4 linked regions of the Tamandua tetradactyla genome follow. The protein of the gene in region 1 purifies or fractionates together with the protein of each later gene. This does not show direct contact. Links are inferred from orthologs where the notes say so. Each region holds a gene or a part of one and is shown in the gene's direction. Other genes may lie near its edges.

Evidence for each region.
Region 2: the proteins of CHUK (region 1) and MAP3K7 purify together in Homo sapiens (affinity purification with western blotting; 9 studies listed by BioGRID and IntAct, with this or other methods). This does not show direct contact. The link is inferred for Tamandua tetradactyla from reciprocal best matches to the Homo sapiens genes CHUK and MAP3K7.
Region 3: the proteins of CHUK (region 1) and AKT1 purify together in Homo sapiens (affinity purification with western blotting; 5 studies listed by BioGRID). This does not show direct contact. The link is inferred for Tamandua tetradactyla from reciprocal best matches to the Homo sapiens genes CHUK and AKT1.
Region 4: the proteins of CHUK (region 1) and RIPK1 purify together in Homo sapiens (affinity purification with western blotting; 3 studies listed by BioGRID, with this or other methods). This does not show direct contact. The link is inferred for Tamandua tetradactyla from reciprocal best matches to the Homo sapiens genes CHUK and RIPK1.

The regions. Positions count from the first base shown.
Region 1 is NC_135339.1:61,763,846-61,771,278, reverse strand, and holds the start of CHUK (inhibitor of nuclear factor kappa-B kinase subunit alpha), read left to right. Parts: upstream 1-4,346; 5' UTR 4,347-4,426; coding exon 4,427-4,531; intron 4,532-7,433. Other genes in the region: CWF19L1 (CWF19-like protein 1), read left to right, coding at 1-45, 430-527, 2,624-2,768.
Region 2 is NC_135331.1:147,859,803-147,867,140, reverse strand, and holds the start of MAP3K7 (mitogen-activated protein kinase kinase kinase 7), read left to right. Parts: upstream 1-4,238; 5' UTR 4,239-4,460; coding exon 4,461-4,580; exon of another isoform or gene 4,581-4,602; intron 4,603-7,338. UniProt on the Homo sapiens protein: Serine/threonine kinase which acts as an essential component of the MAP kinase signal transduction pathway. Plays an important role in the cascades of cellular responses evoked by changes in the environment.
Region 3 is NC_135340.1:87,905,096-87,913,044, forward strand, and holds the start of AKT1 (RAC-alpha serine/threonine-protein kinase), read left to right. Parts: upstream 1-4,849; 5' UTR 4,850-4,923; intron 4,924-7,283; 5' UTR 7,284-7,374; coding exon 7,375-7,420; intron 7,421-7,949. UniProt on the Homo sapiens protein: AKT1 is one of 3 closely related serine/threonine-protein kinases (AKT1, AKT2 and AKT3) called the AKT kinase, and which regulate many processes including metabolism, proliferation, cell survival, growth and angiogenesis.
Region 4 is NC_135351.1:4,962,386-4,970,454, forward strand, and holds the start of RIPK1 (receptor-interacting serine/threonine-protein kinase 1), read left to right. Parts: upstream 1-4,969; 5' UTR 4,970-5,080; intron 5,081-5,093; exon of another isoform or gene 5,094-5,217; intron 5,218-5,385; exon of another isoform or gene 5,386-5,561; intron 5,562-8,069. UniProt on the Homo sapiens protein: Serine-threonine kinase which is a key regulator of TNF-mediated apoptosis, necroptosis and inflammatory pathways.

The DNA.
Region 1 (7,433 bases):
CAGATAGAGCTGTTGGAGATCCCAGAGCACTCTGACATCAAGCAGGTGAAACAGGAGGGGGAGGTTTTTGACATGTTGAACCTGAGGTACTGTCAAAGTATTCTAAAATGTTAAGTAGGAAGTGAAAATTTGTGATTAGAGTATGGGGTATTGATTAGAATAGAGATCCAGATGGCATTTCAGCCAAGTCCTAGTGCTTTTCGGGGAAGAGAAGGTAATTAAAAATTTCCTAAGGTGGGTATTTAGGAGACTGTGTGCCATGGGGAGGATCTTGGTAATATCTACCAATTTCGCTTTTTAAAATCTGGTTCCCCAAGTGACTTGGTATCTGTAAACTACTTGTATCTTTTCTTTTTTTGTGGGTTTTTAGACTGAATTTTTGCTAAATTATAGTTTATACTATAACTCATGCAACTCTGTTTACTTTAGATTGCACAGCCAGGAGCAGCATATTTTTATGTTGAACTTGACACAGGAGAGAAGCTTTTTCACAGAATTAAAAAGAATTTTCCTTTACAGTTTGGAAGGTTTGTTTGCTTCTCTTCTTTTAAATGTAATTTTACTAGATCTAATATGAACAATGTAGTGAGATGCATGGACAATTAACACAAAGATAAATAAGGAATAGTACTTGCCCTAAGAAATATATAGACTTAGGGCAAGTCAGATGTTACCATGTGTGACAGTAATTAATGCAGAATATGAGAATGTTTTGGGGAACAATGAAAAAGTTTTGGAGAACAATGTACTTTAGAAATTTAGAGAAGAGAGAGCTCATTTGTACTTGATGGAAGTCTTCATGAAAGGATTAAAGTTGAACCTGAGAGATAGATTTAGAGGACAAAGATTTGGGTGAGGACACTCCAGCCAGGCATAGAAAATTGCTCCATTAATTGAGCATATGCTCTGTGTAGGTTCTGTGCCAGGAACTGTACATGTATTGTCTCAATTTCATGCATTGTCCCTGAATTTCTAAAGTAAATTGTCTTCTAAAACTTTTTCATTGTTCCCTAAAACATTTTCACATTCTGCATTAATTACTGTCACACATGTTAACATCTGACTTGCCCCAAACCATGAGGTCTTAACATCATTATTCTCTATTGTCCTAAAGATCTTGATGAGGCTTCATTTCTGCTCCTAATATTAGGTAGTACGTAACTGAAAAACCACATACAGGGTGATAAAAATTAAGCCAAGACTGAAGACGGAGACGTTGGCAAGAAGAGACAGAGGATAGAGGAGAATAGAAAATGTGCAGAACAGATTATCTAAAGCTGGTGTCTCATTTGTAGCTGTTTTTTACCCCTAGTTAGAACTGGGCTTTAAGTGAATCTTGAACCAGTTTTGAACTGATGTAGAATGTGCCCAAGAGATTGCCACTATTCAATAAGTCTAGTAAATGTAATTGTCTGCATTTTCAAAAAGACATTATCTTTTTGTTTTTACCTCAGCAACAAGAAGATGTGGACACTGACTTTGCAGGCTCATGATTCACAGACACACAGGCACATAAAGCCCACAAAAGGGAGATTTTCCAAATGGTTTTGTGCTCATGATGGTTGTATTTTCAACATTTAGTATTTTTCAGAGTACTAATTTACAGTTATGTGGCATTTTATAGGTAAGAAAATAACTTAGAAAGATATCATTTTCCCAACTATACAATAAAGACAATATTCTCTCTGTTTAACAGATGAAGTAGCTCAGAGGTTTGCCTAAGGAAACAGAACTTGAGCTCCAGTTCTTTGACTTAGAGGAATTCTGTGATTTGAATTCAATTTTTCTACTTATTGTAGCTTCAGAGTAGAATATTGGCCATATAAATGCACAAATAGAGTTATTTCTACTATATCAAAGTGAGTAAAAATAAATACAAATAAAAACGCTGGCATTAGAAGGCAGCTTGTGTGTAGTGTGTCCGCATATAGTAACTTTCAGTCCTGAGGGTCAAGATAAGTTGTTTGGTTGATAGTGAGCTTGTGTAGTTTTGCCTGTGTTGGCCTGAATTCTGTGGAAGGAGAGGCAGAAGAATTTCAAGACAGAGAGGGTATGACACTTGGTATCTCACTTTACTAGGCCCTTATGGTCTAGTTGGGATGACAGACTAGAGTTTAACTTGTAGTCACAGCTATTGTGGAGGTTTGACTGTTATTCCTACACCTTATAAAAACCCTGTAAGGTAGGTGATATTATTCTCATTTCATAGGTGAGGAGGTAAAAACTCAGAGATAGAGTAATTTGTCTAAGTAACAGACCACAGGTGGCAGAGCTAGGAATGGAATCAAGTCTCTGATCTTTCTGACTCCAGTGTCTGCCCTCCTTCTACTGTGTCATGTTGTTTCTCAAAGTATTAACAGTATAATTCAAAATTGTTCAATAGAGGAAGAAGTTAGTGGGGTACAGAGCATTAAGAAACAGGTGGGACCTGAACTGGTCATTTAAGTTGGTATGATGTTGATAGGATGGCAAAGATGGCACTAAGAACAGGAAAATGGTACAAGCAGAGGAATTTGCATACCTTCTTTGGGTAACACTGAGGAGTTGTCTGATTGGAGAGGAACAGAGGGAGGAGGGGGATTTCCAGCTGATGCTGTCCTTTTGACTTTAATTCTTTCTTCAGGGAGGTCCTGGCCAGTGAAGCCATCCTTAATATTCCTGACAAGTCTGACTGGAGGCAGTGTCAGATCAGCAGGGAAGAGGAGGAGAACCTAGCTCGCTGTTTCCGGAAAGAGTTTGAGCCCTTTGACTTCACTCTGGATGACTAACCAAATGGAAAGATTTTTTATGAGCTTCACAGATAGTAGCAGCAGCCTGTTTTTAAAGAAACTACATATACCTATGGGGACTTTTTCCCACCCTCTTTTTCATGCATTCCTATGGAACCTGCCTGCAGTAAGAGGCCTAGGACTGAATATATTTTGGAAAAGTCACATTCATGAAAACCCTATATTAAAAGTATGTCTGTCATCCAGTTCCAAATACAGCCTGGTTTTAACAAAATTTTCAAAAACATTGAAACCATCAAATAAAATTCATAAACTTTTCCATTGTTGACAGGTGTTTTGTGTTCATGTTACTTGTGACTACTGAAATGAGGTGGTGTGTGTAATAGGAGGTATCAAGGCTTTAGGTGTAGTTGTTATCTCAGAATCACACAGGGTGGCCTCTCCTTGAGAAAGCCAGAGTACAGAAGAGATCTAAGATCCTTAACATTTTTTCTCATAGCATTCATTTTGATGTACAAAAGTTCATTCAGTCCTTCAGCAATTATTTCCTCCTATGAGCCAGGTATTTTTTAGGCTCCGGGAGTATAGCCATGTCCCAACATGGTCCCTGTTGTCTCAGAGTTTACATCTAATTGGAGGAGGAGGGGGCAGATTTAAGAAAAGAAGATGAATTCTGCTTTGGCTATGTTGAGATTGAGATGCCTGAGAGATCTAACAGATGTGGCATCTGTTGTTGGGTAGATCTAAACTCATGGACATCTAGATTGGTGGTGATAGGGATTTGGGGATCATAAAGATATAGGCCATTGATGAAATTATGAAAATGAGTGAAGAAAATTCTAAGCTGAGGATGGCTACCTGAGAAATTAATATTTAAGGAGTAGCCTGGAGATAGAGTGGTCCAACAAGTGCACAGAGAAGGAGCACAGAGATCCCTGGGGAATGCCATATTTTGAAAGCCAAAAGAAAAGTAATTGTTCCTATATAATTGGGCACTTATGATCCAGATAGTAAATTTTACTTAATGCTCACGAAACCTCCAAGAGGTAGGTATCATTACCTCTATTTTACTCACGAATAAGCTGAGACTCATACACTTGAGCCCAGAATCGACAAGCCTAGATGAAACAAACTGGAGCTCTGCAGGTCTCTGACAAACGGGACGCTTACGGGAGTGAACTATGAAGGCTAGTGCATCAATGTGCTTGTTTGCGCAGGATTCTTTCGATTTCTTCAGATTCCTCAATATTTAAATAGCTGGTGGCCTTTGCCAGTGCCGGTTCAGTGGGCGGTGGGGTTGAAGGATAAATGGAGCAGCCTGAGAAAAGGTGATGTGAGACAGGGCGGGAGGCAATCTGAAGTTTGGAAAAGAAAAATATATAAGAGAATGGTTTGAATGGAATGTATAATCTGGACAGAGCTTATATTTTCATGACTGGAAAAAAACCCCACAGGATCCTCTAGGTTAGAAAAATGATTACAGCATTCCCAAGAGTGGATTTGGAGGTCTTCCTGGCTTCTCCACCCTTTAACCGCTAGGATTCTGGCCGGCACCCGGAGAATTTGGGGCGGGGCTTTGCTGAGACAGTTCCCGGAAGTGACGCATACATCTCGCGAGAAGAAAAACGCGCGACCCTCGGCGGCCCGGAACCGGCCTGGGAGCAGCGGTTAAGTTAGGTTGCTTCCCCTCCCGCCCCATGGAGCGGCCCCCAGGGCTGCGGCCGGGCGCGGGCGGGCCCTGGGAGATGCGGGAGCGCCTGGGTACCGGCGGTTTCGGGAACGTCTGCCTATACCAGCATCGGGTGAGGCCGGGCGCGAGAGGGTGCGGTGGTGGGTGTTTGTCTGAAACGCAGTGACTGTCAATATATGTGAGACTTGGACAGTGTTGGAGAGCCAGTGGGTCATAGCGTGCGTGTGTGTGATACCGTGCTTGTGAATCCGAAGTTGTGTCTGTAGGAACACGTTGAGAGTGGTCCTGGGTCATTGTGAGAGTGAGCTATTAGGGAGGATTTTTGGTATGTATCAAGGTATTTAGATATTTAGATCTTTTTGTAGACGTGGAGCGTCAGGGTGTGTGGAGCAGGTGTACAGAGTTAATGTATGTGAGCACGAATGGATGAGAAAACGGGGATAAAGGAATGGGGGCTGCCTGTTGGAATGTGTTTTTACCTGTGTGTTCTTGGAGGCCAAGGATATTAGTAGGGGCTGGAGCAGAGAAGGATTCATGGTGGGTCCAAGAGTTAAGCCTTTGGAAGCATGGGTAGGCTTTGGAATAGGACATACATTCCAGGTTGCTTGTGTGAGGACGAGCTGGTGAAAATGATCATGACTTCAAAGGGAAGGAAATAAGATTGGGGAGGGAGGAAGGATTTCAGTTTGTGGAGGACAGCTAATATCGGACCCAGGAATTTTACTTTGAGTTAATTGAAGATGTTTAACCATTGTAGCAGCAGTTAATAATCGTGTTTGAGTCATGTATCTTTTCAGATACCAATAAAAGCTATGAACCCTTACCCCCAGAAAAACGCACAGGCATATCTACACGACCTTGGGTATCTTATGCATTTGCTATTTGAGGGGGCTTACAGTCTCCTGAAGCATATTAGCAGACCTCTTAGGTATATAGACTTTGGGTTAATAATTCCAGCAATGTGGCCTTTGTTTTGACATCTGTAAGATGGGTATAATATACATATTTCATGGGTCTGTTTGAGAGTTAAATAAAATAATAATGTATGTAAAGCTAAGTATACTGTTTCTGGCCCATGATAAGCTCGCAAATATTAGCTGTTGCTGCTATATCACTGTTGCTGTTATCATCTTCATCCTCATTAATTGGTTTTAAAAATGGAAATGTAAGGTAAAAGTGGTGTTCTAAGAAGATTATTTTGTAAATAATGAATTTGAATGGAAAAACATGGGGCAAGATGAACAGTTAGAAAATATTAAAATGCCTGTATTTGGCCTGTGAATGAATAAGGTTATTAAAAAAAAGAAATTATGATTTGCTGTTTTAAGGAACATAGGAGTGGGTAGAGGTCATAATGTGGGTAGGCAGAAGGGGAAATGGGAGTCTACCTGGGGGACGGTAGGCATGTTTGTGGGGCAGAGTGACAAATGTCACTAACAGAACGAAGTTTTGTGAAGCAGATTTCTAGATAGAGCATAGGAGGAAATCTTGGAAAGAGGGCAAATGGAAGGTAAAAGCCTAAGGCATTAAGTACTTTGAAGCCAATGAAGTAATAAGTTTAGTAATTCTCACCGGGAAGGTGTGTGTGGAGGTGGGGGGGGGGGCGGTACTTAAGACAGTCAAAACAAAGAACCAAAGTGCTTTTAGTGGAATGTTGCCTATAGTCTTGTTATCTAAGCCTCCCCATCAACCGATCATAAGAGAGGAAGCATATATGGTGATAGGATTTTGTGACTGCTTCTCCTGGTCTCTGTTTGGGGCTGAATGAACTTATCACTTTTTAAATGGAAGAGACTTGGGTTCCTCTAAAATCTTAGAAATTTCCTGTTGTACATAGAGACCCTTTTCCCAAAATGAGGACATTTGATAGCTGAGCATATATTGAGGAGAGAAGGAATACTCTGTCATAAGACTTGGAAACAGCATCATTCTTTTTCCAAACCTGACTTGGGGTTTACATTTACAGTTTTCGAGATATTCATACGTTTGGTGGAAGCCATGACCCAGTATTTCATCTATACCCTTTAAAGCACAATAAAGAAAATAATGTGAAATGTATTATTTAGCTGATGACATTACTGGTTGCTGGTGAAACCTAAATCTGCAAAAACAGTATTCCTTGCCCTCAAGAACATCTCAGGTCCAGTGGAAGAGATAGGCAGGAAAACAATTAAAATACAATGTGATAATCTATAACAAAGGTATTTGCAAAGTGATATTGAAGCATGGCCATAGTAACTGAAGCATTCTTTCTGGGGAAGAGGGTGGCACGTCTCAAAATGTGTTTGGGAAAACTAATCCCATGAAATACTTTCAAAAAGGATATGATGGCCAAATGCATTTGGTAAATGTTGCGTATACTATTCCTTCATTTGGAGATTCATAACCCATGTTACCATAGTAAGAGCTCTAAGAAATCCTGTAGTAAAGAAACCAATTTTATTTAGTAACTTTTCCAAATGTATTTGAACACAGAACTGGTTTTGTTTTATTTATTTATTTATTTTTGCTGAACATCTATACACTTCCCACCAAACACTCTTTGTGAAGTGGTTGAGTGGGAAAGGCCTGCACAGAGTAAGTGACATAAGAAGTTAAAAGATCTTCTGGGGTGAGACGTTTTTGAAGCAGATTACTTCCTGCCTCATTCTCACTGGAATTTAGGGTTTAACATTGTTCATGGTTGTACCAGATTGTGTTTATGGTGGTGGTCTAGCTTGCTAGCTGCCGGAATGCAATATACCAGAAACAGAATGGCTTTTAAAAAGGGGAATTTAATAAGTTGCTATTTTACAATTCTAAGGCCAAGAAAATGTCCCAATTTAAACAAGTCTATAGAAATGTCCAGTCTAAGGCATCCAGGGAAAGATACCTTGGTTCAAGAAGGCCAATGAGGTTCAGGGTTTCTCTCTCAAGTGGAAGGGCACATGGTGAACACAGAGTTTCTCTCTCATCTGGAAACACACATGGTGAACACAGCATCATCTGCTATCTTCTTCTCCTGGCTTCCTGTT
Region 2 (7,338 bases), on another chromosome or scaffold:
GTGTACACTTCATTCTCTCAATCGGCCAGGCTTTATTAACTCAGTGAGAAATATGGCCATAAGCAACTCCCAGACTGCATGTCACAGTCACCAAACAGAACTGTTCACTAACAGCTCTGGTTAGAAAAATTCTGGGAAAAATTCTGCTGGGCCCACCTTAAATCGCATGACCATGCTTGGACTGTCTTTGTTTGCCAGGGTTGCTATAACAAATACCACAGACTGGTTGGCTTAAATAACAGGAATTTATTGTCTCACAGTTTTGGAGGCTAGAAATCTAAAATCAGGGTATTGGTAGACCATGCTTTTTCCAAAGTGTATAGTATTCTGGTGGTGGCTTGCTAATGATCCATAACTTATCTTTGTTTCCATCACATGGCAATCTATCTCTCTACTCCTATGTCCAAACTTCCTTTACTTATAAAGACTCCAGTAATATTGGATTCATGCTGATTCATTTTGGTTTCTCTTAATAGCATCTTCTAAGAGCCTATTTACAATGAGTTCATATTCAGAGGATGTGCAGTTAGGATATGAATATATCTTTGTGGGGAATATGATTCAATCCATAACATGGACTGATTCCAAGAGGCATGTGTATCAGGTACAATGATTGGTCCAACCTAATATATGGCGCCTATCACTGTCGACAGTGGGCTATGGTCTACTATCAGAAGCTAAGGAAAAGGTGCCAAGCAGACAAAGAGAAAAAAAAATCTCTCCAGATCAAGAACCTGATAGTTTTTCTAAATACTACTTGACTGCATGAGTGTTCTTATTCCTTTGCTAATATCTGAAAGCATTTTTATCTGAAACCATTTACAGATCCCACTGAATAACGGCACAAATAATAAGAAAAAACCATGTTTCCCCCTTTTGTTATTTTTCATCTATTGTCACTAAATAAAAGCTAAGGTGTCAAAATAAGTACAAACTCTCAAGAAGAAGATAAGAACTCTTTCCTTGGATAAAGATTCTCTAATATAGGATCTAATATAGGATTAGATTCTAATATAGAGGAAGGGATTTCGCTTTTATATTCTGGACCAAGAATAGAGACATCCAGGCCCAAGTTTCCATGTAGTTCATCTAGGCAATATAAAATTAACAAAAATTCACTGTTTGAGTCAAACTGATCTGTGCCTTCCTTTAAGTTACCTTAGAATCTTAAAAGAGGAACTTCTAAAACATGCATATGCCTGAGCCCCACATAAAACCAATTACGTGAGAATCTCTGGAGGTGAGCCACAAGGGATCTGTATTTTCAAAATTCCCCTGGGTAAATCCAGGGGAGAAAACACTGACATTTTGTATCACCCACCAAATACAATTCACCAACATAAAGTACAAAGAAAAAAATGAAGAAAAATTTATTCATAGAATTTTTTAAAGATGGCTTTTCAACTACATACATAACTTCTGTAATGTAGAATAAAACATAATAGATGGGCTTAATGAAAACACATGATAAAATTTAGTAACAAGGACTAGTGGGGAAAGAGGGGCTAGGGGAATTGACAGTTATTGGGCCTACTTGCCTGCTTAAGCAATCTGCAAGCCAATAGGACAAGGATTGATTTCAGACTAATATCAATATCAGAAGTTCAAGTCACCAGGTAAAATATAGAAGCAGATGTATCAGAGCAGCTGATCAAAATTATGCAATATACTCACTGTGAAACACATTCAACAGAAAACACGGATAGATGGATGGATGGATATATGATTACGCAATGTGGTAGTTAGGTTCAGGTATCAACTTGGTCAGGTGAAGGTGCCTAGTTCTGCTGCTGTGGATATGAGCCAATGGTACGTGAACCTCATCTGTTGCTCATTACATCTGTAGTTGGCTAGGAGGCCTGCCTGCTGCAATGAATGATGTTTGATTTAATTGGCTAGTGCTTAAATGAGACAGCTCAACATAGCACAGCCCAAGCAGCTCAGCATACCTCATCTCAGCACTCGCAGCTCAACCCAGGCCTTTGGAGATGCACAAAGAATAACCCCAGGGAAAGTTGCTGGAACCCAGAGGCCTGGAGAGAAGGCCAGCAGAGATCACCCTGTGCCTTCCCACGTAAGAAAGAACTTTAGGTGAAAGTTAGCTGCCTTTCCTCTGAAGAACTAACAAAATAAATCCCCTTTTATTTAAAGCCAATCCATCTCTGGTGTGTTGCATTCCAGCAGCTAGCAAACTAGAACAGGCAGGTACAGTAAAACGTTAATAGAATCTTGGTGGTGGGTATATAGATGTTCACTGTAAACTTCTTTCAACTTTTCAATATGTTTGAATTTTTCATAAAATATTGGAAAGAAAATCAAGAAGAACAGCATCGTTGCTGTAGTGATTAGTTGGTTGTCAGCAGGATACTTTCCTAAACAAAGGAGTAGAAAACAGATCTTGTATTCCAGAGAAAGGGAGGCCTGGCAAAAGCTATTCATTCATTCAGAAAACATAATAAACATTTCTTGAGTTCCCACTTTGTAGCATCAATTGATCAGAGTATCAAAGACAAATAAGATATGGACCTACAGACTGTCCTACAGACTAACAGCACAAGTAAGAGGCAGTCCTAGTTTGGTAATGCAAGGAGAGGAATGACAGGTAAGAAATGATCATCCCATTGATTTAATCTGCTTCTATTTGATTATTAGTGCACTATCATTTCACGTGTAGAAATGTTCTGTTATCTCACTTGGACAACTGAATGGATAAAACCCTTCCCTGAGATAGGAAATGCACAGGGAGGGACATACTTTTGGTGGAGGAGAAATTTTAAATTTGCTTCAGGCATCATAAAGTTTAGGTGTTTATGTAACCTCTAAGTAAATATGTCCAATAGGTCCAAAATTCAGGGAAAATCTGAGCATTAGAAAAAGAATGGAAACATATGGGAAAACAAGACCTTCTGTGAGAGCCTTCAGAGACTGCTTATAGTGAGAAGAAATTATTCTTTCATTTTTTTATCCATTCGTCCAACTATCATTGTCACTAGAACTAATAAAAAACGAATGTTTCCAGAAGTTCTTAACTTCCTGATTAGAATATCCCATGACCTATTTGCAATCACAAATGTTTTTTACTTCCTTGTGTACCCCATTTATTTGATTGACTACTCCTTAATTGAAATGCTCTCCTCACTTTCCCGATTCAGACTATTTCATAGCAATCTACTTTTCAGTCTCCTACTGAGACTTAGAATTTGACAACATACGCGTAGGGTTCCATCCGTGATTCTTCCACGCAGTGTCCATAAGTGAGTTGATTATTCAAACCCACTGCCTCAACCACCGTCTATATTTATTCTTAAGTCTTCATGTCCAAGTTCAGTTTTCCCACAGTTATGCTTCAGGTCAAACTGACTGAGGTTTAGCAGCTAATTTAAAACAAAATTGCGGTGGCAACACAACATAGGCAAAATCAACAGCCTTTGAGACACACTGGTCCAGGTTCTACTAGCTTGTGAGGACCAGTAATTGTTTTAACCCGAGTTTATTTTCTATACGTACTGAAAATGGCAACAAAAATCTTTAATTTGCAAGGCGATTACTGATTAAGTTAAATGTAAAGCATCTATGGTAGTGCTCTGCACTTGACGTGTTATTAATATAGTCTCTAACGAGGTGAACACAACAAATTATGTTAAAGTATCTACCTTATCTAACTAATCTCTGAAAATATTGTAAGAACAAAATATTGACTTGTTTGTGAACACTCGGCCTTTCAGAGTTTAAAGGAACAGCAACTGTTTCCTTTTATAAACACTGAGGAAAACAAATTCTACGAGGTTTCTTAAGAACACAGCTCAGTTTACCTTAGGGCTGAAACTGAAAAGTAAGGTTGCCACAAAAACTCAGTTCAATACTATCCCGACCTCTTTGCAAGCCGCTCAGACTAAACGGAGTGAGGTCATGACAAAGTTCACCAAAACAGAGGCAAAACCGTAGTTTTAATCTTTCCCGCTGCTTCTTAAAGGACCAACCACAACGACTTCAGTCGTGCTGCACGCCACTTCCGTTCGCGCATTTTAATTATGTCAGCGCAAGAGTTCTCGCGGTATCATCCCGTTGCTGGGTCCCTGTTAACGAAGATCTCGCGAAATTTGTTTTACAAGTTCAAGCAAGCCTTTCACCCTTATGCCCCACCCGCAACCTGTCCTTCCTTTTTCTTTCCCAGGCCCCAAATTCTCCCCTCCCCGCCTTCCAGCCGCAACCCTCCGCCTGTTTCCGATTTCAGACCGGAGCCGGAAGTGTGGTGGGCGGGGCCGGGTGGCGGAAAGCGCAGCCGACCCGGAGCTGGAGCCGGGACACGGCTGAGGCTGCGGCCCCTGCCCCCGCCACGGATCGCGGGGTGGCTGGGCTGCGCTGCGCGGCTCCAGGCTGAAGGCCAGTCCAGAGGCGGGTGGGCGCGGGCCTCCCCCGGAGTGTCCGGGCAGCAGCCTCCCCAGGCTTCGCGAGGGATCATGTCTACAGCCTCCGCCGCCTCCTCCTCCTCCTCGTCTTCGGCTGGTGAGATGATCGAAACCCCCTTCCAGGTCCTCAACTTTGAAGAGATCGACTACAAGGAGATCGAGGTAGAAGAGGTGAGCGAGGACCCGCAAAGAGGTACCGGCCCTGGGCGGTCCTCGCCTCTGCCTGGTCCCGGCTCTGAAGGCGCCTCCCCGACCTCTTGGATTCTGGGCGCCCCTCAGGGTCCGCCTTGGAGTCCCCACAACCTTGCAGATACCGGGTGTTGGGGGGACTCGCAGCGCTCACCTGCTCCGAGGTAGATTTCTTTTTTCCTCACTTCGGCATTCTTAAATTTGGATTTGATAATCCAGTGCCCGGATTTGGGTCACCTCAAGTAGAAGGGTGAACTGGTGAGATAGTGTGGTCCACCAGTTCTGGTTTCTCTAAGTAGTAAATTCAGAAAGACCGTGGCCGTTTGGGAGTTTCAGTTAGTCTAAAGGCCAAGGATTGTATGACGTTCAGCTTTCAAGCTCCGTACCTGGTAGGTAGTGGGCGCTCGGTAAATGTTAAATTAATAGCTCGCCGAGTCTAAATACATTGTCTTCCAGAGTACCGAATGGTTCTCAGTTTCGTCGATTCCGTAGAGTAGGACTCGTAATCTTAACAAATGTTCTGCCTTCAGTTAGGCTAGTTTAGATAAATTTCACCATTAGTCATAGGCTGGTCTGTTATGATGGAAGGATGTTTCAAGTAGCGTATCCTGAAGCGGTAACTAAAGATCGCGGTGACAACTAAAATGTAAGACCAGTCGGGAAACCACGGTTGGAAAATCCTAATCCGTTTCATATTCTATAAAAATTTTAGTTATTTTAGAAGATATTCCAGTTTGTCTTTAATACATTGCTTATTTTCAAGTTTACAGATGAGCGATTGGCGATAAGGACTATAAATTTAGAAAAGATAAAACAGTATGAATAGACATTTTAAAACATGTTAAAAACTTTGAATGAAAATGGCATCTATTAAAGTTACCAGTTTTTAAATTTTTTAGACACTTTGCATTACATATACGATGAAGAACACAGTATGTCTTACTGAAAACTTATAGACTCGAGAAAAGTTATCTCTAAAAATCTAAAATTTAGATTGCAGTGAGCTAAAAGTGTAATATAATTCACAGTCATCAAATAAATACATATTTTTCCTATTTGATTTTGGAAGAATATTGGATTATATTTTTGTTGCAAGGAGTAATCATGGAAATTATTGAGACCAGCCTTGTTTTTATTTTTCAAGGAAATATGCTAGGAAGAACAGGATCTTTGGAGTTAGAATAAGGTGCAGTATATCAAATATGCCACTTATTAGCTGCCTGGTTGGCAGCATAATTTCCTAACTAACCCCTTTGAATTGTAGTTTCCTTAACTGTAAAATAGAGATGTTAATTTCTATCTCACTTTGTATAACAGATCCTATTAGTCAATTAAACACTATGGCAAAATACCCAACACACTGCCTGAAACATTAGGAAACTGAGATTCAGAGAGGAACAGTGACCTGCTTAAAGGTCACATGGCTAAAAGAAGATCCATATCTTGAAAAAAAAAAAGGGAGGGGGAATTTTTTTGCATGTTTTCTTCTATTGAGGCTATGATAAATTCCTTTTTCAGAAGTGGTAGTTGATCCAGCTTTCATGACTAACATTCTTTCTTTTTTAAAAATAAAAATTCAGTGAGTCAGTATACAAGAATTGCAGTTTTTAAATAAGCCTTTACGTCTACCCTGTGGCAAACTGCTATGCTTGTAGACTACAAATTGTTATATAATAATAACTTGTACTTCATGGTCTACCAATGCTTTCACAGTCTTAACTTCATTTGATTTTTAGAACAACCTCAGTTTTGCACACTGTTTTCTAAAGCTTTTGCTTTCTTGCTTCATGGAGGAATTGGAGTTAGTAAGAAGACATTATCATTTTGCAGTTCTTCCCCCAAAGGTTTTCACTTTTGGTTAGGGTTCCATGTGTCCAATGACCCTTCTTTCAGTTTTCCCACATGTCCAATGACCCTTCTTTCAGTTTAAATAATGTTTAGAACTTCGTTTGGTGGATTTAGGATATTTGTTTTCATTTTCTAATACCCATTTTATTTTCACATTAAAGGTGAATTTGGATCTTTCTGCTATTGAAACCATGACACAATTTCATCAGGTTCTTCTTTTGCTTGCATCTTTGGCATACATTGTTATATAATCCATAGTGCACCATGGGCACTCATGGCTGTTTCTCAACTTAGATTTTGCTTTTAGGTTATAATCATGAATAACAGAGCAGAGAAAGATAACCAAAAACAATAAGTATTTTGGATTGCTTTCAATATTTTATACAGTACAGGTATATTACTTTTTAAGTAAAAAAAAGTCATATTCCATATTTCTCAAATAACAATATAACTGATTGACATTAAGTGAATGTAATTAGAAACTGTGTAATATATGCTTCAATCATAGGCCAGATACACATTTTGTAGAAACAGATTTCTAAGATCATCAGCTGATTTTAATCCTTAAATTCCTAATACTGTGATTAGGAACACTTGGGCACTTCTTAAACCTAATTCTGGTAACAAAATTATATATATCAGCCTCAGAAATCTACGTAGGTACTTGTAGTCATTTAGATTTTAACATTCTGGATCTGGGTATAGAGAATGTTAGAATAAATTGTGAGGTATGTATATTGTAGACTAGGTTGCATAATATGGTAAAGGCAGTGTGGTGTAGTGAAAAGTATACTGGTCTGGATATTTAGAAAGTGTAGGGGCTGTGCTGATTTTGCCACAATATATTTTTGTAACTTTGAGCAAGTCACATTGTATTCAGGGCCCTTAGTTT
Region 3 (7,949 bases), on another chromosome or scaffold:
ATGGCAGCGCGGCCCGGGAGCCGGCCCGGCAGGCGGGGCAGAGCCTGGCGCCCGCCCCCTGCGCTCACCTCCACCGCCCCAAGTTTTTCTCCGGCCGCCGCGCGCCCGCCCCGTGGGTCCCGCAAGGAACTGCGGGCAGCGCGCCGCGGCGGGGAGGGCGCTCAGGAAGCGGGGAGGGTGCGGGAGGGGCGGGGAGGGCGCTCGGGTAGCGGGGAGGGTGGGTGCGGGACGCGCTCCAACTTGGCCGGCTGGGCCCCGCCCGCCACTCGCCCCGCCCGGGAGAGAGCGAAACTCGGGCGGGGGCTGGAGGGGGCGGGTCGAGGCGACTTCCCGGAGCGACGGAACCGCTGAGGTCATCCTGGCCGCCCCTTCCTTGGCCGCCTCGCCCCACCGCGTTCCCACCCGGCCTGGTCCCCTCTCGCCGCCAGCTGGGGCCCGCGGCAGGGGGCCGGGTGCGGGGTGCGGTGTGTTGGGGGACCCTCTCGCGATACTTGCCGCCTCCGCCTCGGTGTTCCCGGGGGTCCCGACTGCACCCGTCTTTAGAGGAACCCCACTCCCACCCCTGAGAGCCCGCCCCACCGCCTCTGCGCATCGGGACGGTCACTCAAGGGCGCAGCCACCCGGGCCCCGGTCTCCCGCCACCACGCAGGGCGCCGGCCCTGGGATCCGAGAGGGGGCGGCGGCTTCTTAAATTTTGAAAAGATGACGTCCCTTGGTCTGAAGCGTCCAAACACTCAAGCGGGATCTCGACCTTGAGGTCCAGGACAGGGGGCACCCACCCTCTCAGCAAACCCTAACCGAAAGTCTACTGGGTGCCAGGTGCGCCAGGTTTTGTCCGAGAGGCACGGGGAAAGCACCAGCCGCAGCAGACGCGGCGGGACGCGGGAAAACGCAGTGAGGGCGGGAGACCGAGGTGCCTCGAGAGCCCAGGGCGGAAGCACCAGCGTCCTGGGAGAGACAGGCGGCCCCGCGGGATTTGTTCCCCAGGGGCAGGGCGGCCGGGGTGGAAGGGGCAGCGCCAAGGCGTGGGAGGGAACACCTAGTTCTGCGGGGAGAGGAGTTTGGAGAGGCTGGGGTCCCACTGTGGGGTGTAAGGGTGCACGGCCCTCCGCGACCATTTCCCGCGGCAAGGCGTGGCGGATTCGAAGACACCAGCTAAGCGCATCCGCGGAGCTGGTTATTCGTGTCATTCCCGTTTGGGCCGGTAGGGTAGGTAAGGTGCACAGGGCCGCTGGCCTTGTGAATTGGGGCCAATCCCCCCAGTCTGATCCTGAACCCCACCCCTGGGGAGCCACATATGGAGGCCGATGGGAGTGCTTGGGTGGCCCCTGGGGCTGGTGCAGTCCCCAGGCAGGCCCTGGACTTGTGTTGAGAACAGGGCTGGAGGAGGACTTGATTTCCAAGGACAGGAGGGGGGTGGGGAGAGGAAGAGACAGGAGGAGTGCAGCCTGCAAGCACCCTTCCCTGACCCTGGAGGAAGGGGTGCCAGGAGGAGGGAGAGGGGAGGTGTGCAGGGGGCTACTCAGGGGCCTGGTACTTGGGGGTCCTGGGGCACTTGGAGGTCTTGGGGCCTGCCTAGCTAATAGATCCCACCATCTTTAGGGAGGGAAGGTCACAAACTGCAATGAAAAGTAATTTGTGGTTTATCCAAATTCAAATTCCACCAGGCACCCTGGGTTTCTGTTTGTTAAATCTGGCAGCTGCAGCTTGGGCCCCTGGAACCACTCCCTTTGCAGCCAGCTGAGGGACAGCAGAGCCCTGGTTCTGTCCGGGTGGGGAGCCCAGCTCTCCCCCTTCCATCTGAATGATTACCCCCCACCTCCACCCCACAGGAATAGCTGAGTTCCAGGAATTCTGAGCACAGGTGCCCCTGAGGTCTGCCTCTGACCCCTTCCCAGCCTGGGCTGCGACCCTTAACCCTGCCGGGCCTTAATCTCCTAATCCGTGAAACGGGAGCAAGGGTGGTCTTTGTTCAAGAGGTTCCAGAATGCCCCTCCCGGGCTCTGCTCATATGTCCCCTTGGGAGAATGACTTTTCCTTAACTCTGCAGCCGCTCTCCCCAGCCTGCGTCTCCCCACCTTCCGCTCATGGGCCTCCGCCTTCTAGTGCGTCACAGTATCTGTCAGTCCTTGCTCTTTCTTCTCTCCCCTGCCCTGCCCCCCATCTCCCTGTGGAAGGAAGGGCCTGGATTTTGTTCACTGTCGCATCCTTGGTGCTTAAAAAGTCGGCCCGGTACTAGTGGGTCTCACCAATACCTGCTGAGTGGATGTACAGTGGTGCTTTCTGTTACTGGTGTCTGTGTGTCCTGCTGCCCTCCATGGCAGCCCAGCCATCAGGAGCTGTACCCCCAGGCCCTGGGCCCTAAGAGGCTGGGAGGCCACGTTGGGGCCCCGGCTGACAACTCCTTGATGCAGCTGAAGAGGCCCTGGGGCACAGAAAAGGGACAAGGGGACCCAGGCTTGGCAGGGGTTGTGGATGTGGAGCGGAGCGGAATCGACAGGTCTGGAAGCTGCCGCAGGAGCCTGGCCATGGGCCTGGGCGGCGGGCACTCCTGGGGATGGGGGTGGGGTCTGCCTCCCAAGCCTGAAGGAAGGGCCGTCCAAGGCCACGTGGTCTGTGAACCTTGGGGGACCCCTTCTCCAGACCAGTGTGGAAGCAGTGGCAGAGCCACCAGCATGGGCCAGTGTGAGCAGAGCCTCCCTAAACGTGTCCGCAGGCCACCATCTGGCCTGGGGGCTGCCCTGAGGCCCCGCCCTGCAGCTGCTGCCAAGAATATGTAGTCCTGTCCCAGGGCAGCGGGCAGCAGCTGCGGGAGGCGACAGGGCAGGAGACCCATGCACCGCCCTCGGGATGGGGTGGGGGAGTAGGCAGCAGTTTTTGTTGAAAACACCTGGCCAAGGAGGGCTCTGGTGGTCCCAGCAATGTGGACCCTCTCCTTATGACAGTCTGGGGAGGGGCAGGGCAGAGGGGTGTCTTTGAGGAGGGGCGTCTGCCTTTTCTCTGGGAGGCCAGAAGGGATGGGTGTGAGGCTTGATGGGTACAGGGTTCAGGGAGAGCAATGAGCAAGTTGGCCAGTGAAACCAACAGTGAAACCTCTGGCCCGGATGCCATTTCCCAGGCAGGCAGGGAAGGTGGCCTGGGCAGTCACAGTCTCTGCCATGAGAGGGCGCCCTCCAGGCCCGCGAGTGGCCACTCAGCCTCCCATCCCCAGGCCCCTGTCCCCAGCCTCCCGGCTGACCCCTCAGCTTTTTTCCCCCAACCGGCAAGGATGGGGCGGTGGGGGGGGGGCATCTAGTGTACTGCAGGAGGGGACGAGGAAGAGCCTCCTTGGAACTGGAGAGCAGTGGACAGGTGCGACCAGTGAGTAAGGGATAGAAGACACAGAAGCAGGACACCCAGGCTGTGGGGGGCAAGCCTCAGGGCAGAGACGGGCCCAGCTTCTGACCTGACCTCTGACTTGACCTCTGACCTGACCTCTGACCTAGATGGCCCCTCCTGGGCCTACACAGCCGGAGCTGGGCCAGCTGTGCTGGGGAGAGGGGATGGGGGAGTGGAAGTGAGCATAGGTGTCAGATGAGACTCCAGGACCCAGAGGATGTTCCCTGCCTGCCCCAGTCCCTCCGTAGTTAGCCCCCAGAGGCAAGGCCAGAGCCCCGGAAGCTGGTCCACGGTGAGCCTCTGGCCCAGACTGCCTGCCTCACCTCACCCCCCATCCCCACCAACTGAACTCTGACCCCAGATGAAAAACAAAAATGACCCGCACCCATCCCCAAATACTTACCAACCTCATTGGGTGACTCAGCTGGAGCCCTCCTTTTACCAAAGATTATCACCAGCCCAGAGGCTCGGGGTGTGTGTGTGTGTGGGGGTGGGGGGTGTTGGTCAACTGTTGGAGAGACTTCAGCTCAGGGAGGTATTGGGGCTGGCCACTACCCTCAGTGCCCTGCAGGTAGAGGGGGCTTCACTCCCACCCTCAGAATCCCACTTGGAGTCCCTGCCTCCGGCCAGCCCCCAGTTGCCCTTCAGTGGACTTGGGATGCCTGGAGCCCCCCTGGGGCTCAGCAGGGTCCTGCACTGTCTCAGGAGTCTACTCTTGAGTCTGCTGTAGCCCCCAACCCCAAAACACCCAGGACCCCAGTCCCTCTGGCTATCTGCACCCAGCTCCGATCCAGGCACGGCCAGGAGGTGTGTGGGGGAGAATGCAGCCCCCTTCCTAAGCCCCCTTTGCTTCCAGCCCTTCTCTAGGGGACCAGGGCTCCCCTCCCAGGGCCCTTCAGTTCTAGATGAAGGGGTTCAGCCCCTGGCTGTAGGAACTGCATGCCAGCTTTGGAGGGCCCCCTCCACTTGGCCTCTGGCCCCCAGGCCCCCAGCACCCTGCCTGGAGCAGGCACAGAATGAAAGTGAGACTACTCTCTGCCTGCCTGTCCTCACAGGGTCAGAGCAGCTTTGGCATTACAAACGGGGAAACTGAGGTTGGAGAGTCTGCGGCTTGTGGCCCGGCTGTGCGGTCCCCGCGGCGGGGCCAGCCGGGTGCCCACCGGGCGCTGCCGCCCTCCCTGGGGCCGGCGGGGGCGGCGGAGGCGGATGTGGGCGGGCGGCTCCGGGAGGCGGGAGGCGGGCGGCGGGCGGCGGGAGGCGGGCGGAGGGCGGGGAGGCCGCGGCGGGAGGAGCGAGGCGGGGGCGGCCGGCCCAGCGCAGCCAGCGCAGCCCCGAGCGGCCGGAGCCGGCGGCGAGCACCGAGGCCCGGGCGGCGGCGGCGGCGGCGGCGAGGCCCGGCCCGAGGCAGCGCGCCCCCCGCCCGCCCGCCGCGGCCTCCCCGCCCGCACCGCCAAGCGCCGGGCCCGAGCGCGGCCGGGGATGCGGAGCGGCGGGCGCCGGAGGCTCCGGCCCGGCTAGGCCCGCGCTCGCTGGACGCGGCACCCGGTGAGTCCCCTCGGCGCGGGCGGGGCCCGGATGTCCCGCGCGGGCCGGGCGCTTTGTTCCCGGGCGGGCGCGGGCCGCGGCGCAGCCGGAATGGAGGCCCCGAGCAGGAAGTGGCCGAGCGGCGCCGGGCGGGAGGGCGCGGGGAGGGCGCGGGCGGCCGGGGCTGCGGGCCCCGCCGGCCTGCCTCTCCCCCGTGACCTTGGGGGGCGGCTCTGCGGGGCAGCCTGGAGCCGGGGCCGGGCGCTGCCTGGGGGCCTGGGGGGCCGTGGCACCAGCGGGACGCCTGGCCGGCAAGGCGGGTCCCGGCGGTACTGGGGCAGCGTGAGGAGAAAGCTTGGATCGAGCCCGCGTTCAAGTTTGCCAGTGGGGACGAGACCTCATTTCCCCCCAGCCCCGAAGTTGTAGCCGGTGGCCCGATGCCCAGGCTAGCCCACCAGGGATACTGCTACCCCCCATCCCCATGCCAGTTCCCTTCCCGTGGCTGGGGCCTTTCCTCCAGGGCCCCCAACTGCTTCCTGCTGTAGTGGGCTCTGGGGGTGCTGCCTACCCATCGCTGATGCTGGAGCCTGGAGGACACTGTGGCTTTGACCTAGACTGAGGGGTCCTGGGGCAGTCGATGACTCTCCCCAGCCAGAACGGTCCTGAATACTGTCCTGGTGGGCAGACGCAGGGGCCCGAAGTGGCCCCCACATTCACTCCTGGGCTCCCAGCTTGCTCCAGAAGGAGCTGCTCTTCTCTAAGGGAGCTTCGTTCCTGCCCCCCAGCTGAACACCCATTTCCACTGTGTCTCAGGGCAGAGGAAGGTGGCTGTGACAGAGCCTGGAGTGTAAGAGGAAAGCTGTGACAGCCATAATGCCCGGGAAGTTGGGGTGTTCTGCTGCCCTGCGGCTGCCTAGCTTGTACAGCTGTGCACATGCCACCCTGAGTGCACGCACAGGGGCTGGTGGGCTCTCGGCAGCTGCCCAGCTCCGTCGGTACCAGTCCTGGAGCATGTCTGCTGGAGTCCTACAGCCTGGGGCTGGGGTTGGGGGTATTGGGAGGTGAGTCCAGTCCCCTGCCTCTGGGCAGTACCCCTCAAATCTCAGCAGAGCACCCTCTGTGCTCACTGTGCTGTGACTCAGAGCACTTTTCTTGGTACCAGTGTCCTACAGTCTCACTGCCCATGGCCTGCCAAGTGTGTTGGGCCCGGCCCTCTTGGGGGTCTGGTGTTGGAGATGGGCTGTGGCCCTCCCTGCTGCTTTAGATGGGTCCCAGGGGAGAGTTTCTTCCAAGCCTGCCCTCAGGAGTGCCCATCTAGAGGGGTAGCAGAGGACTGCCCAGAGGAAGAGCATGCCAAGTGCTCTTTCCCAGAATGCCCAGAGCCGGTGACATGGAATCTGGGTTTTGAGGGATGCCTAGGAGTCCATCCAGCAGGGGAGTGGTGGAGAAGGCCACGCAAAATCCATGGCCAGCGTGTCTGCTTGAGTGAGAGCTGGCTGGTGGGCTGCCGTGGGGCAGGCGCCAGTGCTCTGCCGTTTGTACTGTGCCCCCCTCCCCTTTTGTTGCCTCTGAATGCTGTGATTATGGGTCTGTAACCATCCTGGACTGGGTGCCCCTCACTGACAGGACCAGTCTGAACCTCTGTTTGTCCTTCAGTCCCAGCACTGGACCTGGCAAAACCAGAGTTGCCTGGCACACATGGGCCGAATGAATGAACCAGATTCAGACTGGCAGGGGCTGTGGTTTAGGAGGGGCCTGGGGGTTTCCGTGGCGAGGTTTTTCACGCCGCCCTGGACAACTCTGGGCTCTCATTTGCTCCAGCTGCCTGTGCTCCCAACTCAGTCCTCTTCATGTTTGAGCTTCTCTCCTTCCCCAGTCTGGGGCTCAGGGCGGCGGTGCCCCAGCCTGGGCCGGGATTCCCAGCCTCCGGGTAGAAGCAGCCCGGGCAAGGAGAACTAACGGGCACCCGTGGCCAAGGCGTTGGGGAGGCAGGCTGGGGCAGCCTGGACGCTGGGGCTGGCAGGTTCGGGAGGCTGGGATGGGCTGGGAGGGTCCTCTGGGGACGGGGACCAGGGAAGGAGGGGATGGGCAAGGCCCACAGGGGCGTGGCTGAGGACCCGAAGTCTGGGGGTTGGGGGAGGGAAGCTAAAGGGGCTTGAAGCTCAGGCCAGGAGTGCCCAGCCCAGGGGGCAGGGGGCAGGGTCAGAGGGGAACATGAGGCTGGAGCAGGGCTTTGGGGAGAGAGAAAGTGGAGGGGAAGAGCTGGAAGGCTGTGCCGAAGCTGGGACCCTGAGGTGAGCTGGGCGCAGGATGTGGTTGCAGGGACAGAGGGGCTGGCCTGAATGCAGGACATACCCTCACCCACTCTCTGCTTCCCCCAGCGTGAGGGCAGGCCTGCTGGGCTCTGGAGACCTGGTCCTAGAAGGAGCCTGAGGGTGACGTCTGGCCACAGCGGCTGCAGAGCTGGGCACCATGAGTGACGTAGCCATCGTGAAGGAGGGCTGGCTCCACAAGCGAGGTCAGTGCATGCGGGCGCGGACGCCGCGGGGGGCTCCTGGGTCTGCAAGCCTGAGCGGAGCCACCAGGCGGGCTGCCTTCTGAGGCTTCTGGCCTGGCTGGGGTGAGCATCTAGGGCCCCACATCCCCTCGTGGCGTTGGGGTCACAGCCTCGAGGGGCGCCTGGTTTGAGGGACTGAGGGGCCAAGGCTCAGCCTACAGACTGGCCAGCAGAGAGGCCGCCTAGCTGGTGTGGGTGGGTGGGTTGGAGGAGCGGCTGCCAGCCTCCCGCCCGGCTTTCCTGGAAGGCAGCGAGGACAGTGAGGCGTTCCAAGGCCTGGCACACTGCAGCCTGGGGCACGGCCCAAGGGCTCCTGAGGGCAGGCAGGGCTGCTTGGCTTGGCCCGGTGCCTGCCTTGGGTCTGAGCTGGCGGTGGGCAGCCGCAGCAACCCTGGGACCCGGGTGCGGGGCATGTTTGCATTGAAGCCAGGCTCCCACCCAGTTGCCCTTCTCTTTACCCACCTGGACCCAAGGGGCCCACCAAGGGCCT
Region 4 (8,069 bases), on another chromosome or scaffold:
ATTCGATTCCATTGGTCGATATATCTATCTTTATGCCAATACCATGCTGTTTTGACCACTGTGGCTTCATAATATGCCTTAAAGTTTGGCAGCGCAAGACCTCCAGCTTCGTTTTTTTTCCTCAAGATGTTTTTAGCAATTCGGGGCACCCTGCCCTTCCAGATAAATTTGCTTATTGGTTTTTCTATTTCTGAAAAATAAGTTGTTGGGATTTTGATTGGTATTGCATTGAATCTGTAAATCAATTTAGGTAGGATTGACATCTTAACTATATTTAGTCTTCCAATCCATGAACACGGTATGCCCTTCCATCTGTTTAGGTCTTCTGTGATTTCTTTTAGCAGTTTTTTGTAGTTTTCTTTGTATAGGTCTTTTGTCTCTTTAGTTAAATTTATTCCTAGGTATTTTATTCTTTTAGTTGCAATTGTAAATGGGATTCGTTTCTTGATTTCCCCCTCTGCTTGTTCATTGCTAGTGTATAGAAATGCTACAGATTTTTGAATGTTGATCTTGTAACCTGCTACTTTGCTGTACTCATTTATTAGCTCTAGTAGTTTTGTTGTGGATTTTTCCGGGTTTTCGACGTATAGTATCATATCGTCTGCAAACAGAGATAGTTTTACTTCTTCCTTTCCAATTTTGATGCCTTGTATTTCTTTTTCTTGTCTAATTGCTCTGGCTAGAACCTCGAACACAATGTTGAATAATAGTGGTGATAGTGGACATCCTTGTCTTGTTCCTGATCTTAGGGGGAACGTTTTCAATTTTTCCCCATTAAGGATGATATTAGCTGTGGGTTTTTCATATATTCCCTCTATCATTTTAAGGAAGTTCCCTTGTATTCCTATCCTTTGAAGTGTTTTCAACAGGAAAGGATGTTGAATCTTGTCAAATGCCTTCTCTGCATCAATTGAGATGATCATGTGATTTTTCTGCTTTAATTTGTTGATATGGTGTATTACATTAATTGATTTTCTTATGTTGAACCATCCTTGCATACCTGGGATGAATCCTACTTGGTCATGATGAATAATTCTTTTAATGTGTTGTTGGATACGATTTGCTAGAATTTTATTGAGGATTTTTGCATCAATATTCATTAGAGAGATCGGCCTGTAGTTTTCTTTTCTTGTAATATCTTTGCCTGGTTTTGGTATGAGGGTAATGTTGGCTTCATAGAATGAGTTAGGTAGTTTTCCCTCCACTTCGATTTTTTTGAAGAGTTTGAGGAGAGTTGGTACTAATTCTTTCTGGAATGTTTGATAGAATTCACATGTGAAGCCGTCTGGTCCTGGACTTTTCTTTTTAGGAAGCTTTTGAATGACTGCTTCGATTTCTTTACTTGTGATTGGTTTGTTGAGATCATCTATCTCTTCTTGAGTCAGAGTTGGTTGTTCATGTCTTTCCAGGAACCCGTCCATTTCCTCTAAATTGTTGTATTTATTAGCGTAAAGTTATTCATAGTATCCTGTTATTACCTCCTTTATTTTTGTGAGGTCAGTAGTTATGTCTCCTCTTCCATTTCTGATCTTATTTATTTGCATCCTTTCTCTTCTTCTTTTTGTCAATCTTGCTAAGGGCCCATCAATCTTATTGATTTTCTCATAGAACCAACTTCTGGCCTTATTGATTTTCTCTATTGTTTTCATGTTTTCAATTTCATTTATTTGTGCTCTAATCTTTGTTATTTCTTTCCTTTTGCTTGCTTTGGGGTTAGCTTGCTGTTCTTTCTCCAGTTCTTCCAAATGGATAGTTAATTCCTGAATTTTTGCCTTTTCTTCTTTTCTGATATAGGCATTTAGAGCAATAAATTTCCCTCTTAGCACTGCCTTTGCTGCGTCCCATAAGTTTTGATATGTTGTGTTTTCATTTTCATTCGCCTCGAGGTATTTGCTAATTTCTCTAGCAATTTCTTCTTTGACCCACTCGTTGTTTAGGAGTGTGTTGTTGAGCCTCCACGTATTTGTGAATTTTCTGGCACTCTGCCTATTATTGATTTCCAACATCATTCCTTTATGGTCCGAGAAAGTGTTGTGTAAGATTTCAATCTTTTTAAATTTGTTAAGACTTGCTTTGTGACCCAGCATATGGTCTATTTTTGAGAATGATCCATGAGCACTTGAGAAAAAGGTGTATCCTGCTGTTGTGGGATGTAATGTCCTATAAATGTCTATTAAGTCTAGTTCATTTATAGTAATATTCAGATTCTCTATTTCTTTGTTGATCTTCTGTCTAGATGTTCTGTCCCTTGATGAGAGTGGTGAGTTGAAGTCTCCAACTATTATAGTATATGAGTCTATTTCCCTTTTCAGTGTTTGCAGTGTATTCCTCACGTATTTTGGGGCATTCTGGTTTGGTGCGTAAATATTTATGATTGTTATGTCTTCTTGTTTAATTGTTCCTTTTATTAGTATATAGTGTCCTTCTTTGTCTCTTTTAACTGCTTTACATTTGAAGTCTAATTTGTTGGATATTAGTATAGCCACTCCTGCTCTTTTCTGGTTGTTATTTGCATGAAATATCTTTTCCCAACCTTTCACTTTCAACCTATGTTTATCTTTGGGTCTAAGATGTGTTTCCTGTAGACAGCATATAGAAGGATCCTGTTTTTTAATCCATTCTGCCAATCTATGTCTTTTGATTGGGGAATTCAGTCCATTGACATTTAGTGTTATTACTGTTTGGATAATATTTTCCTCTAACATTTTGCCTTTTGTATTATATATATCATATCTGATTTTCCTTCTTTCTACACTCTTTTCCATATCTCTCTCTTCTGTCTTTTTGTATCTGACTCTAATGCTCCCTTTAGTATTTCTTGCAGAGCTGGTCTCTTGGTCACGAATTCTTTCAGTGACTTTTTGTCTGAGAATGTTTTAATTTCTCCCTCATTTTTGAAGGATAATTTTGCTGGATATAGGAGTCTTGGTTGGCAGTTTTTCTCTTTTAGTATTTTAAATATATCATCCCACTGTCTTCTAGCTTCCATGGTTTCTGCTGAGAAATCTACACATAGTCTTATTGGGTTTCCCTTGTATGTGATGGATTGTTTTTCTCTTGCTGCTTTCAAGATCCTCTCTTTCTCATTGACCTCTGACATTCTAACTAGTAAGTGTCTTGGAGAACGCCTATTTGGGTCTAATCTCTTTGGGGTGCGCTGCACTTCTTGGATCTGTAATTTTAGGTCTTTCATAAGAGTTGGGAAATTTTCAGTGATAATTTCTTCCATTAGTTTTTCTCCTCCTTTCCCCTTCTCTTCTCCTTCTGGGACACCCACAACACATATATTTGTGCGGTTCATATTGTCCTTGAGTTCCCTGATACCCTGTTCAAATTTCTCCATTCTTTTCCCTATAGTTTCTGTTTCTTTTTGGAATTCAGATGTTCCATCCTCCAAATCACTAATTCTATCTTCTGTCTCTTTAAATCTATCATTGTAACTATCCATTATTTTTTCTATGTTTGCTACTTTATCCTTCACTTCCATAAGTTCTGCGATTTGTTTTTTCAGTTTTTCTATTTCTTCTTTATGTTCAGCCCATGTCCTCTTCATGTCCTCCCTCAATTTATCGATTTCATTTTTGAAGAGGTTTTCCATTTCTGTTCGTATATTCAGGATTAGTTGTCTCAGCTCTTGTGTCTCATTTGAGCTATTGGTTTGTTCCTTTGACTGGGCCATATTCTCAATCTTTTGAGCATGGACAGTTATCTTCTGCTGCTGGCGTCTGGGCATTTATTCAGATTTCTCTGGGTGTTGGACCCAGCAAGGTTGTAAGATTTTTCTGTGAAATCTCTGGGATCTGTTTTTCTTATCTTGCCCAGTACGTGGCGCACGTGGCACACGTTTGTCTCAAGTGTTTGGAATGGGTCTCCCCCAGTCACCGATCTCCGTGGCCTGGGGCTTTCGGATCCAAATCTCTCCGTTGGTTCAGGGGCCGCGCGTGGTGGGGGCATCAGCTGCCGCAGCTTGAGGGGACCCTGTGGCTGGTTGCGGGCCGCAGCGGGCCTGGGGGATTCCCCACCGGACCAGGAAGCCTCCCGTGGGGGGGGGGCTTCCGCGGCTTGGATAGCCCTCCTATCTGAGACTCGTATCCGCGGACTCAAAGCAGAGACTCGAAGCCGCCCGCAAAAGAGGGGTGCCACCTGCCTCGGCTTGGGAAACTTGCTTCTCCAATACTCTCAGCCGGCCCGGAAAGGGGGGAGGGAGTAGCTCGGACCACCGCAGCTGCCGCTGATCGGGAGATCGCACGCCGCTCGGGGGTCTCACTGCAGCCGAGTCTCGCAGTCAGTCTAACCAGCCCAGACTTTGGATAGCCCTCTGATCCGGGACTCGTAGCCGCGGACTTAAAGCCAGGACTCGAAGCCGCCTGCAAAAGAAGGGCGCCGCCTGCCTCGGCTTGGGGAACTTACTTCTCGGATACTCTCAGCCGGCCCGGGAAGGAGGGAGGGATTAGCTCGGACCGCCGCAGCTGCGGCCGCTCAGGGGTCTCGCCGCAGCCACGTCTCACAATCAGACTTGCCAGCCCAGACTTTGGATAGCCCTCTGATCCGAGACTTGTAGTCACGGACTCAAAGCCGCCCGCAAAAGTGTCGCGCCGGCCGCCTTGGCTGGGAAGCTTGTCTCTCCGAGTCTCTCAGCCAGCCCGGAAGGAGGGAGGGATTAGCTCGGACCGCCGCCGCTGCGGCCGCTCGGGGGTCTCGCTGCAGCAAGACTCGGAATCAGATTTGCCAGCCCAGACTTTGGATAGCCCTCTGATCCGAGACTTGTAGTCGCGGACTCGAAGCCGCCCGCAAAAGTGTGGCGCCGGCCGCCTTGGCTGGGAAGCTTGTCTCCCGTATTTCCTTTTTCTTTTTTTTTTTTTTTTTTTTTTTTTTTTTTTTTTGCTTTAGACCTCCCAAGCTCCATTTTATAAGGCTGTAGAAGAGACACCTCATTAACTCCCCTACAGAGTGGATTTCGCTGCCCCACTTACCGGATGCAGAGTGCTGGCCAGCGCGCGCCAAGTTTCTGGCACTGGGCGGCGTAGCCCGGCATTCCCCTGCGCCCGCCTCCTCCCGCGGGGGTGGGCCCCAGGATCTGGTAAGTCTTTTGGTCTTTGTACCCGCTATAAAAGGCAGGATAAACGCGATCCTCTGACAGAAGCTCTGGCCTCCTGAAGTGAAAGGGAGAAGGCTGCTCGCCGGAGTTTGTATCTGGGAGATCTGACAAGGGCCGAGGTAAAGCCCACGGGCGGTGGAAGGGCACTTGGGCTTCGCGAAGTTTCTTGGACACCCGCCCCACTCCCGCCGCCCCAGCACCCACGGATCACGGCGAGCCGGGCGACGGGGGCGAGCGCCTGGCTTCCGGGGTACAAGCTCCTGGAGGAGGGGCAGGAGGTGGGGCAGCAGCTGTCCACGCCCTTCGTGGTTTATCGATCTCCTGTCACGAAGAGCCGAGCTGGGCGCGGGGCGCGGCGGGGCTGGCGGGACTGAGGACGCTGGATGCTGCGGACCCCGTGAACTGCCGTGGACGGCGGGGCCAAGGGAGCTGGACGCTGTGGACTGCCGGGCTGAGCGCGGGGGTGAGCGGGTTTGGTGGGCGCGGAGCTGTGCGGGGCCAGGGCGCGGGGCGGCCGGCGCCAGGCTGCCCTCCCCTGGGCTCTGTCTTCTTACACTTCTTGCCCGGGGGACCCTTCGGTCGGGGTTTTCTGCCTTAGTCCCGGCGGGGCAGGGCCTGCGAGCCACGGAAGCGAAAGTCAGCCTGAGCGCGGAGCGTCTGCGCCGAGGCCGCGCCCCCGGGGCCGCGCGCGGCGCCTCTAGGAAAGGCCGAGCTTCCGCTTCCAGCGCGCCGCCGGCCGCCCAGGCTGGACGCCGCTGTCCCGAGCCAGGATGTGGCGGAACGGGCACAGCCCCGTCGCTGCTGCAGTTGTCGTTGGGGGAGTGATTACTTTTTATTTGCATTGCAGTATCGTTAAGGAAAAGCGGGGCCTGGTGTGGCCCCGGGAGGGCGACAGCGATTACCAGGCTGGGCAGGGCTGTTTTCTGTGCACTTGGGGCGGTTGCGGCGACACTCAGAATCTGTCCCTTCTTAGAAGCATGTTTCCACGGGAGCCGGCCTGTGTTGCGGGGAGTATAGGTACCCCCTATATGAATGTAGGGGGTAGCAAACTTTCTTAGGACTCAGTGTTAGAGAGTAATTAAAGAAGGTTCACTAACATATTACCATCTGTTATCATAACTCATTTCAACTTACAGTGTGATGGCGTCCATTTATAATGGAATTTGTTCATTATTTTGCATAAAATGGCTATGAATTTTGGCACTTGGAAGCAAGTTTGCTCTATTGAAATGAACAGGAAATTCCAAGAAAATTCACAAATTACCTCTAAGGCAGGGCAAGTCTGTATACCAAAATATTCATATTAACTTTCACTAGTAAGTCTGTTTTTAAATAGACTTACTTAATACTTTCCCCATTTTCCAAAGATGACCATACATAAGAATGTGATGGACACTTCTGGTCACCTACCCAACTGCCATTGCAGCAGTTGCGGTCCCCCGGCTACAGCGACAAAAGGGCGACAGGAGCCGGGGACATTTGCATTTAAGAAGCACAACAGGGTTCGGGACAGCACAAGCTGAACTGTGCTCTCCTAGCCACTAGATAGGAAGCCACAGGAGCCGGTTGTTCGTATCCTCGTCCTTTACTCATTGCTTGCCTCCACCTTGGCTCAGAACTCTTTTTATCTTGGGCAGCCACGGGGCGGTTATCATCCAAGTAGCTGGGAGAAGTCCTTCGTGTTGACATGACTCTTCATCCTTGCTGCATCAGGCTTCATCCCTGATTTACCCATGGAGAAACCAAGGCACCGAGTGAAGTTTGATGTACAGCGTGATTTCATACTCTGCATTTGGTAACTACTGGCGAGGTCATGATAAGAAAAATTGTAGTCAGTTTAGAAATGTGGGAGACGGTAGTTCTTCAGTAACCAAGAAGTGAAGACTGGTCTTGTTTAAAATGAAATCTGGAATGTATCGTCACTATCAAGACTGATAATCATAATGATTACCTTTAACTTTTATTTTCCTCTATGCTGTATTGAGCCCCAGGGATACATTGTATTTTCGGGATTATGAATATTAAGAAAAATTCCCCAAATATCAACTTTCTAACTGCTATTTGATGTCTATTAATCCATCACATGTTAATACCACTAGCATGATCTGGGAATTTGGAAACAGTAGGTAGTTTTCTAGGCCTTGGCTGGATGTTATATTCTGGTAAAAATGATTGACTGTATTAACCTGTAGAATATTAATTTTAAACCACATATTTCTGTGTGATTTTAAAATTTAGGCCATATGTGCCTCATGCTTCCTCCCGTAGCATACTCGTTTAATACAGGTGAGCAAGGCTATCAGATTGGGTCTTTGCATCTGGAGTTTTCCAAGGACTTATTATTGTTTGTAACCCAGAGAAGTGGCATGTGTTACCTGACAGAGCGTGGAAGTTTGAGTGAAGGGATACAGGCAGTCCTAGAATCTGCCACTTTGGTCAAATCATTTAACTACAAATCTCAATTTCCTCTTTTGTAAATTGAGAAAGATGATAGTCAGACCTACTTGCCCAGGGTTGTAATGGAATAATGTATATGGTGATGCTTTCTTAAGCTGGATTGCACTCCCATTGTGTCTTCCTGCTCATTTGTCTTAACCTTAACCAAGTTCTTGCTTACCTGGGTCAAAGCCCAAGGCTGCCATCACAGAACCTGTGAGAAGTACTTTGGTCACATTGGGATGCATGAGTAAGTCAGGATTCTGTTAGCAAGGAAGGGGGTGGGCAATGGCAGTTGGGTAGGTGACCAGAAGTGTCCATCACATTCTTATGTGTGGTCATCTTTGGAAAATGGGGAAAGTATTAAGTAAGTCTATTTAAAAATAGACTTACTAGTGAAAGTTAATATGAATATTTTGGTATACAGACTTGCCCTGCCTTAGAGGTAATTTGTGAATTTTCTTGGAATTTCCTGTTCATTTCAATAGAGCAAACTTGCTTCCAAGTGCCAAAATTCATAGCCATTTTATGCAAA